2 linked regions of the Drosophila melanogaster genome follow. The protein of the gene in region 2 interacts with the protein of the main gene of each other region in a pairwise test. Each region holds a gene or a part of one and is shown on either strand. Other genes may lie near its edges.

Evidence for each region.
Region 1: the proteins of CG13097 (region 2) and CG11920 interact in a two-hybrid assay, tested with the Drosophila melanogaster proteins (2 studies listed by BioGRID).

What each region holds. Positions count from the first base shown.
Region 1 is NT_033777.3:25,073,050-25,076,931, forward strand, and holds CG11920 (uncharacterized protein), read left to right. Parts: upstream 1-1,827; 5' UTR 1,828-1,887; coding exon 1,888-2,074; intron 2,075-2,568; coding exon 2,569-3,278; 3' UTR 3,279-3,333; downstream 3,334-3,882. Other genes in the region: shams, read right to left, coding at 1-509, 566-863, 1,118-1,236, 1,310-1,312.
Region 2 is NT_033779.5:8,511,673-8,516,879, reverse strand, and holds CG13097 (uncharacterized protein), read left to right. Parts: upstream 1-2,011; 5' UTR 2,012-2,125; coding exon 2,126-2,220; intron 2,221-2,287; coding exon 2,288-4,034; intron 4,035-4,140; coding exon 4,141-4,287; 3' UTR 4,288-4,706; downstream 4,707-5,207. Other genes in the region: mRpL51 (mitochondrial ribosomal protein L51), read left to right, coding at 1-112; PIG-U (phosphatidylinositol glycan anchor biosynthesis class U), read right to left, coding at 265-518, 579-850, 913-1,537, 1,598-1,727; CG13096 (uncharacterized protein), read left to right, coding at 5,112-5,207.

The DNA of each region.
Region 1 (3,882 bases), on a different chromosome or scaffold from region 2:
TCCATAGCCCCGTAGATACTCTTAAAGAGTGGCTGCCTGTCTGAATGGAAATAACCACGATTTCCGTGGATAACCTTAACGCCAGTTTGAGACATATTGCAAATGCTCATGTACATGCAGTGATCTGGACGGTAGTTGTATTCGCATGGCATGATGTACAGCTTATCAGGATGATAGTAAAATAGTATGTTGATTATGTCTTGATCCCCCCAAATAATGCGTAGCTTGTACTCCTTATGAATAGACACGATATGCTGTTCCCATTTCATTTCTCTCATCCGTGTGAGATTCATTAGCATAACGCCGGAATTAACGCCCAGTCGGCCATAGAATGGATGTCGTGCAAATCTATTGTACCAGCCAATGTTTTCGTTCTCGTGCTCGGGCGTCAGTGCGGACATTTGCGTCTCATTGAACTTCTTAAAGAATCGCCAGATATCCGAGATGGGCGACAAAAACAATATATCCGTGTCCACATACAGCAATGAGTCCACATGCGTTAGCAATGACTAGAAAAATAAGGGTTTGTTACTCTTGGAATTATATGGATGTATGAAGTAATTACCGGCAAAAAGAGACGTTGAGCTGCACATGGCTTAAAGAGATTCCTCCACTCGACTTCATTGCCACTGGGAAACTTCAGTGGCAAAATCTCAAAGTCAAATGTAAACGGCTTGATATCGCGCCAGTCGGTCAACTTTTCCCTGAACTCATCACCCTTCCCGTCCTCCGTGAAGATCACAAACTTGAGGTACTCCTCGTCGTAGTTGAACAGAATGGCTGACTTAATCATAACCAGAGTCTCCTGCACCCTCTGACCGCAGGAGACCACCACGATGTAAAGCGGGGGTTTCCCAGTCTGCCTGCAAGGTAATTTTATACTTGTTTACTTGGAAAGTTTAAGTGAATCATCTGATTAAATGCAAACACGCCTTGTGTATTTGCTTTTCCATTATGGGCCTTTGTTTGGCAACAGGGAAACTATAACAACCGGAATGGCCGAAATGAAAGAGGTCATAAAACCGGAGGTGAAAGCTAAAGTTTTATATTCCGGACTAATAAAATATATGGTTTTTTTTTATTTCTATATGTGATATATATTCTGATCTCCACTTACAATTCGTTATAGCCGAGCATCTTTCCCTTGTTTTCGGTTACCCAGGAAGGTCGCTGATGGACGAAATATGAAAGTATCGCTAATGCAATTAAGCAAAGCAAACACATGTGAAGATGTTGCTAAAATGGTGCCAAAATAGTATTTACACTTAATATTACTCTGAGACTCTTGCAAGTCAACTTTTTTATTTACCATTTTCAGGTTTTGCGTAAACAATGTTTTCGCCGCAAATTGTTTATGTTTTTTAGGCCGCCAACCGACGATGCCATAATTTTTTACCGCAACGAGCAAGATATGTGCATAACTCCTTATTTAACCAATGTAAGCAATGGATATTGCTTGGTCCTGGGATTTGGCTACAGCGAAACCCATGATAAATGCATTTTTGTTTAAACAATGCGCAAAAACACTAAACAACTAGCACATTTTACAGTCGTAAATATTTGTGTTAGTCAAGATAGCGGCAAGGCCCTGGGCTTTTTAAAATCTCATGAGTGTCACTGATAAATATTTTATATATTTTGCTTATTCATTACAGATTACTGAATAAATAATAAAACAACATGTTTACAGCCTGCAAGTAAATATTACTTGTATTACTATTTAGTTTTGAAAATAAACATATGGTATAGAATTATCCACCGTGTTTCTTTCCATTCGTTTCATCAGCAGCTATCGATAAGTTATCGGCTGTGATCCAGTGGTGTGGGTATTGTTTTCATTTATTTTCAACAGCACACGTGCAACCAGAAATATAATAACAAATAAAAATGCTGCGAAAACAAGCCAGACAGCGAAGGGAATACCTGTACAATAAAGCGCTCACTGAGCGCCTCAAGTCCAAACAAAAAATCCAGGAGACCGTTGTGAAAAGCATTAATGAAAACAAAGCAATTGGCTCCAAAAATGTGAAGAAAAGTCTCACCGCCTACAAGTCGCTGAAATACGCGGATGAGGGTAAATATCAATATAACATTTATTAAATAATGTTTAAATAGTTTCAAGACAGTGCAATTATGCTGTTAGATGATAGCGCAATTATGCTGTTAGATGAATCTGCAATACAGATGTTTTCGTTTGAAAGCTAAAATCCCAAGAGCTTACAAAGGTAGCATTCGTGTTTCCCAAATAACCAGTCGAGATTTTATCGGTAGTTAAGAACTAACAATTACAATTAGTAAATAGTAATTTTCTATGCGTGTTTAGAAGGCAGACAGCGACACCACATATTAAATTTTGATTTTAGTGCAATTATACGCGTGTGTCCTGAGATTTGAGAAGATAAAACCGTCTTTTTTTGAAAAGGATCCTTCTTTAACTATAAAACGTTGTATAGATGTTAAATGGCGTTATTAACAAAGATTTTTGTATAACGTTGAATCTCAAATTTGGTGTATTAAATAGAATTATTATAAAAGCATTTGCACTAAAAAAGGATCTATGTATTTCAGGTGTCGATGACCGCACTGTCAATGATGAGTATCACTATGCCGGATGCGAGGATCCGAAAATAATGCTGACCACCTCGCACAACCCTTCGTCGAGATTGAAAATGTTCATGAAGGAACTGCGGCTGATTATCCCAAATGCGCAGCAGATGAACAGAGGAAACTACCAGCTGACTACACTAATGCACGCCTGTCGTGCCAATAATGTAACCGATTTCCTAATTGTCCATGAGCATCGTGGCATCCCGGACAGCCTTGTGGTCTGTCATCTTCCGTACGGGCCAACTGCCTTCTTCAACATATCCGATGTGGTTATGCGACATGATATACCCGACATTGGACACATGAGCGAGCAGAAGCCACACTTAATTTTTAATAACTTTAAAACGCCCATTGGCCTGAGAACTGTTAAGATACTCAAACACTTGTTCCCAGTGCCCAAGGAGAACTCCCAAAGAGTTATGTCTTTCCTAAACCACAATGACTCGATTATATTCAGACATCATCAGTACAAATATGTGAACAAGGAGTTGGAGCTTACCGAAGTGGGCCCCAGATTCTCACTGAAGCTGTACCAAATTAAGCTCGGCACTTTGGAGAACATCAAGGCAGCTGACACGGAATGGATTAACCGACCTTATATGAATACCTCGCAGAAGAGGCTCATATTTTCTAACGATCCGGGCATAATAAATAAGGACACCGAGGCTTAGATTTAGAGATACCGAACGATTTAACAGAAATAAATTTGTTTTACTTTTATAATGTAACTATTTCTTTTATTTTTATGTGGCTATTACTATTCAAAACTACCTTACATAAAGAATGCACTAAAAATATATTTGAGCAAATAATCAAAGGCTGCAAAAGAAAAACGGCCAATTATCGGAAGACCGACCTTTGAAAGAACATTCGAACAGTAGTCGTGAACATTTGGCGATGACCGTTTGACTCTTCAAGTTATGAGTCCCAGAATCAGTTTAAGGAGACACCAAAAGATGCTGCAGAACATGGGTATTTCAAATCTGGGTCACGCCCCCTTTTGCCTCTTCAGGTCACGAATTTCTGTGGCAGGCGAACCCAACAGATGCGCCAAGCCACTTCTACGAAAAAGTGGAGTTATTTTCTCCCGCCTACGCCAATATATTTACACTTTTGAAAAGAATTTGTTTCGAATGGTTCCTTCGTGCGAACCAATTACCTTTTGGACTATACATTGTATAGGGAATACTTATAGGAATGCATAATTTAAGAGCACTTAAAAGGTAGCCAATTTGCTAACTTTTTCGTATGTCCTTCTAATATTAACTTCTTTAA
Region 2 (5,207 bases):
GTCCAAGTATCCCATCGCCCGACCCACCAAGTGGCGGGAAATGGAGAAACGCATCCTCTACTTGTACAAGTTCCTCAACCGCAAGACGAAGACGGGCTATTCACATCAGTAAAAAACCATTACAATCAAATAAAATATTTTGTTTAATCTGATATTGTTCGGAGTTAACTTATCTTAAGAGTATGCTCGGCTGCCATTAGGAAGCGCATTCTGCATCTGTACAAAGTTCCTGGATTCTGTCCGTCATACTGATACTGTTAATGCTTACTTTAAGACTATCCTCGCTTCCTCGCCATCGATCAGAATCTTCTGACCATTGAACAAGCAGAACTCACGTTTAACGTGCGCGAACAGCAGATCGGTGATTAGAAATATCTGCCCAGTGGAAAACGCAAGAGTGGCACCGAAATAGAAATTGGCATTTGCCGATCCTGCATAGATCCACAAATGCCAAAGGGCTCCCATCATAGATAGAGTGACCAGGAAGAACGTAAAGACCACAAAGCCATGGGCCATGACTGAAAGAAATTACCAAAGTGCTTAGCAGTTGAAATAACTACGTGAGCCAGATAACTTACATTTCCAACATCTTTTCCACAGCGGAAGCAAGGCCAGATAAAAGCCGACATCGCCCAGGCTGGGATACGCCCTAAAAACGGCCATAAGGGCCACCAATACCGTGGCTAGCAGTAGGGGCTCCTTGCGCAGCTTAATACTTAGTGGCACCAGGTATAATACGGTGGCATTCAATTGGAATGTGATTAGGAACATGGTGCGGAAGTGCTCAAACATTTCAGTAAAAAAGTACCAGAAGAGACCGATATTTGGCTGTAGATCGCGGAAATAAAATCTGTAAGATAGTTAAATACGTAAAAATACAAACAGATAACTAATAAGATAGTTCTTGCTTACATAAAACCCAACGTTCCATCCAGGAAGTTCCAGCTGTTCAGCACAAAATAGTTCGCAACTGCCACGATTAGACAACTGACGATAAAGAGCGCCGCTATAGCCACACCCCTCCTGACCGAATTCCGTGAAAAGACCAGGAGCAGTGGTGCTATAAGTACAATGGGATAGAAGCTGCGGACAGTTTCGAACGCGAGGACTAGAAGGCATGGAATGAGCATTCCCTTCACGAGGCAGTAGAAAAAGAAAGCCAGGAACAGATTGCTTATCACGGTGGAGGTCATTCCAATGCAGCTCATAACAGTCAGTGGACTGAAAAGATATGCCACGATCACAAGTTCCGGAATGTCAAGCTTGTCCAGCGGGCCAAACTGCAGCTCTTCCGTATCCTTGGCATACTCCTTTCGCTCCTTGTCCTGCTGATCCTGCTTTTGCTTGACGAATCTCAGACTCATCGCATAAAGCAGGGCCGCCGTGCAGATATCCAGGATTATGTAGAATATCGGCAGAAACTGCGGGTATTTTTGAAACAATCCGGAGAGCGCGCTGAGTATCAGCGGCGATTCGTGTACCAGGTCGCCCAGATAGGGATCAATGCCACTCTGTAGAAGAAATATCCCCTCTTGCACTGCAAGAATAACTCCATTCAGACTTGTTCATCTATTTGATGTCTACTTTGTTTACTTACTGCGCTTGTGTGAATTTAAAGGTGTCGCGAACTCCACTCGGTTGCCAATCATCGGAGCCAGCGGCGTGCGACAGAAGTAGAAGCGCACGGCGCCGCCCAGCAGGAGCAGTTTAAAGAACTTCGAATCCATCTTCTAGTTGGGCATAGTTTTTGTGAACGGACTCCGCCTGTAAAAAGCCGCCTACAGCTGGCTTGGTGGTGGCAAAGGCCTTCGATAAATTATCGATTTCCTTGTCACGATATACGGCTTCTGGTCTACTGTGTAAGCAATTATGATTTTTTTTAGAGCTTTGTTTTCTTCAAGTTAAATATATTTATTATTTTTGGAATAACAAATTTTGGCTCAAAACAGGATTCCAACTCGCATAAAGTTTTTAAGCTTGGAAAAACTTGTACTTGTATCACGCGCTCATCTCTATGTATCTGTTCCATCTCTCACCAACTGGTTGTTGTTTTTGGACCCGCTCTTGCGCTCGAATTGTTGGAATATATATTTCATTTAATTAAGCACAGAAAGCAGTAGTAAAAATGATTGGAAGTAAAAAATCCAAGGAGGCGAATGTCTTCAAGGAAATCGCAGAGAACTTCGAGCAGCTGACCAAGAATCCAGAGCGTTTTCTCCAGTTTGTTTTCCTTCCAAAGACCGCGCACGTGTTTTTTCAAACGTAGTCAAAACAATTTATATTTCAGGCCACAGCCGGAACAAGTGAATGCCATCGAGCAGCTTATCCAGCAGACATACGCCGTTAGCATCAGCGAGGATGTGGCGAACAAGAAGGAACTGCTGCCGGAATTGGTGCTGGAGCAAATGGACGAGGAGCAGATCTGGCAGCAACTGGAGATTCGCAACGAACTAGTGTTCCAACAGGTGCTGGAGCAAACCGCCAGGCTGACGGCGATGCGCGAGCAGCACCTGGGCATTGAACTGGACGATGGTGAAGAAATAGAGGAAGAAGACGAAGTAATACAAGCTGAAGACTCAGGCGATGAGGAACAAGATGAGGAATCAGACTTCAGCGACGAGGATGGAGGGCTACAAAAGCAGAAGACCGCGCCGCCGAAAGACAAACGAAACAAGCGACTACGCAACTCTGTGGTGGACGATACCTTCTTCAAGTTGGAAGAGATGAATGAGTTCCTGGAGCAGGAGGATGCCAAGGAGATGCGCCGCCTGAACAGCAAGAAACGCGTTGAGCAGGCCGATGATATAGATCATTTCGCAGAGGATTTTGGTCTTGGCGAAGATGAGGAGGACGATGAGGAGGGGAATGTCAACTATGCGGACTTCTTTGACATGAATGAGGAACTGACAGAGCATTCTAAAAAGATTAACAAAGGCAAGCAGAAAGATTTCTTCAATGAAAACGAGAGTGAAAATGAAAATGAACCGGATGAGGATGCAAATCCCAAAGAGGGCGATTCTGATCAAAGCGAAGGAGACGAGGGCGATGATGAACCTGAAAATGATCAAGATCCAGATGAGGCGGCCAGCGAAATAGATGAATCCGAATTCGTGGCAAAAAGTGGCATAGAACCTGCCAGCGATTCAGACTCGGATTCGGAGAAAGAAGAGGAGGAGCCACAACCCACAGAGCCACCGTCCCAATCATCCAATGAGATGAGAGAGGCTCGTTTGTTTCAACGCATCCGCGACTACGAAGACATTGTCCTAGGCGAGAAGCCTTGGCAGCTCAAAGGCGAAGTAAAGGCAGCCAATCGGCCCCAGAACTCACTGCTTGAGGAGATTCTCGACTTCGATTCGACCACCAGGCCAACGGCGCCAATCACGGAAGAGGATAACCGCTCCATCGAGGACATAATTAAGCAGCGTATTCGCGACAAAGCATGGGACGATGTGGAGCGCACTGTGCGACCGGTGAACACCCCGCAAGAGTACAGAAAACAACTTGTGCTTGACCAGGAGAAATCAAAACAATCGCTGTCGCAGATCTACGAGGCGCAGTATCAGCGCGAAATGGAAAAACTCGATCCCAATCGCGATGCCGATGACAAAACTGGTCCGGAACCGAAAGAACACCAAGAAATCAAGCGGGCAATGCGTTCCCTATTCCTTAAATTGGACGCCCTCTCCAATTTCCACTTCACGCCGAAACCGGTGGCGCCGGAGATCAAGATCGTAACGAACACACCAGCAGTTCACATGGAAGAGGTGGCCCCGCTGGCGGTGAGCGATGCCAAGCTGCTGGCACCCGAGGAGGTGTTCCGCGGACCCAAGCACGCTCCACTTGGCAAGACCGAACGCGATCGAACGGATAAGAACCGCGAGCGCCGCAAAAAGAAGCAAAAGCAGCGGGCCATCCACTCGGCTCTGGAGCAGCGCGAGCTTCAGCGAGCCAAGGAGGGCAAGGCGCCCACAAAGAAGGAAGCGGATGCCAAGCTGCTCAAGACAATCACCAAGAATCGCAATGTTCAAAAGGTATATAACATTTTAGTTTATCTCTGTTTTATGTTTTGTATTTAATTGCTATTCTTGAGCGATTTTGAATTCTAAATGAATCAAACTTTAAACGATTTTCTTGCAGATCAATGCCAGCAGCAACGACCAGGGAGCTCTGAAGTCCTCAAAGGCTTTCTTCCACAAACTGCAGGATACCGCAGCGGCTACAGCATCCAAAAAGCGACCGAAAAAGGATACCGCCAAGGCGGATGCCAAGAAGCTGAAGCTTTAAACGTACACGCTAGGACTCCTTCATATTGTAATTGCCTTAAGCCAGCAAAGTTTTCTCGTCTCCAGTCACGTGCCAGAAAGTTGTCACAAGCACACACGTATGCCCACATAGCAATCCTTGTTGCAAGAATATCTTTAGCATGTACTGTGTGTCTGGGGAGTCCCCAATTTGGTGCTCCATGGGAGATGCCATGTGTCGGTACTTTTAATGTTCCATGTGCGCGGATCCATCGTATGTGTATGTGATGCGTGGGCGCTTTGTGTGTGGCGGCGTGTGAGTCAAGGACATTCTGTGTCCTGTTGAGGCGATTAGGCACGCGTGCAGCTTGCGGAATTTGACTATTCTTAGAATTATTTACTTAAAATAACTGTTTGCTATGTAAATAGTACCCTAATTAAAGAAAGCAAAGCAAGTAACGTAGCCACTTGTTTTTTTGTTGGATTAGAGTAGAAATACTCAATCATATAATCATCATCATAATTTCTATATTACATTACAAAATTAAAAAATTTAATTTTATCTTCTAAGGGAGAAATAGAGATGGGATACAAATCGAAATCGATATGCTATAACGGTCAATTTTCCAATCGGTTTTGGTGAAACAGCTGCTATTGGTGCTCGGCCCTGCGAAGGGGGTGTGTATTGGCTAAAGTTGTGACCGTGCCTGAGACATCGGTAATGAAAATAGTTCCCGATATCGACTGTAGCTACGTTTTGCGATTCTGAACATATCGATATTAAAGCGTAGCACGTGTGGTTGTGGTGCATTTTAAATATAGTTTTGCTCGAGTTTTTACGCATCTGTCAAAAAAGCAAAAAATAATATGGTTAAAGTACAGAAACCGCAGCCCAAGTCGCTGAACAAGAGCGCCAGCATCGAGGGCGTGGTTAAGAAAAAGGGTAAACCGGAAAAGACCAAG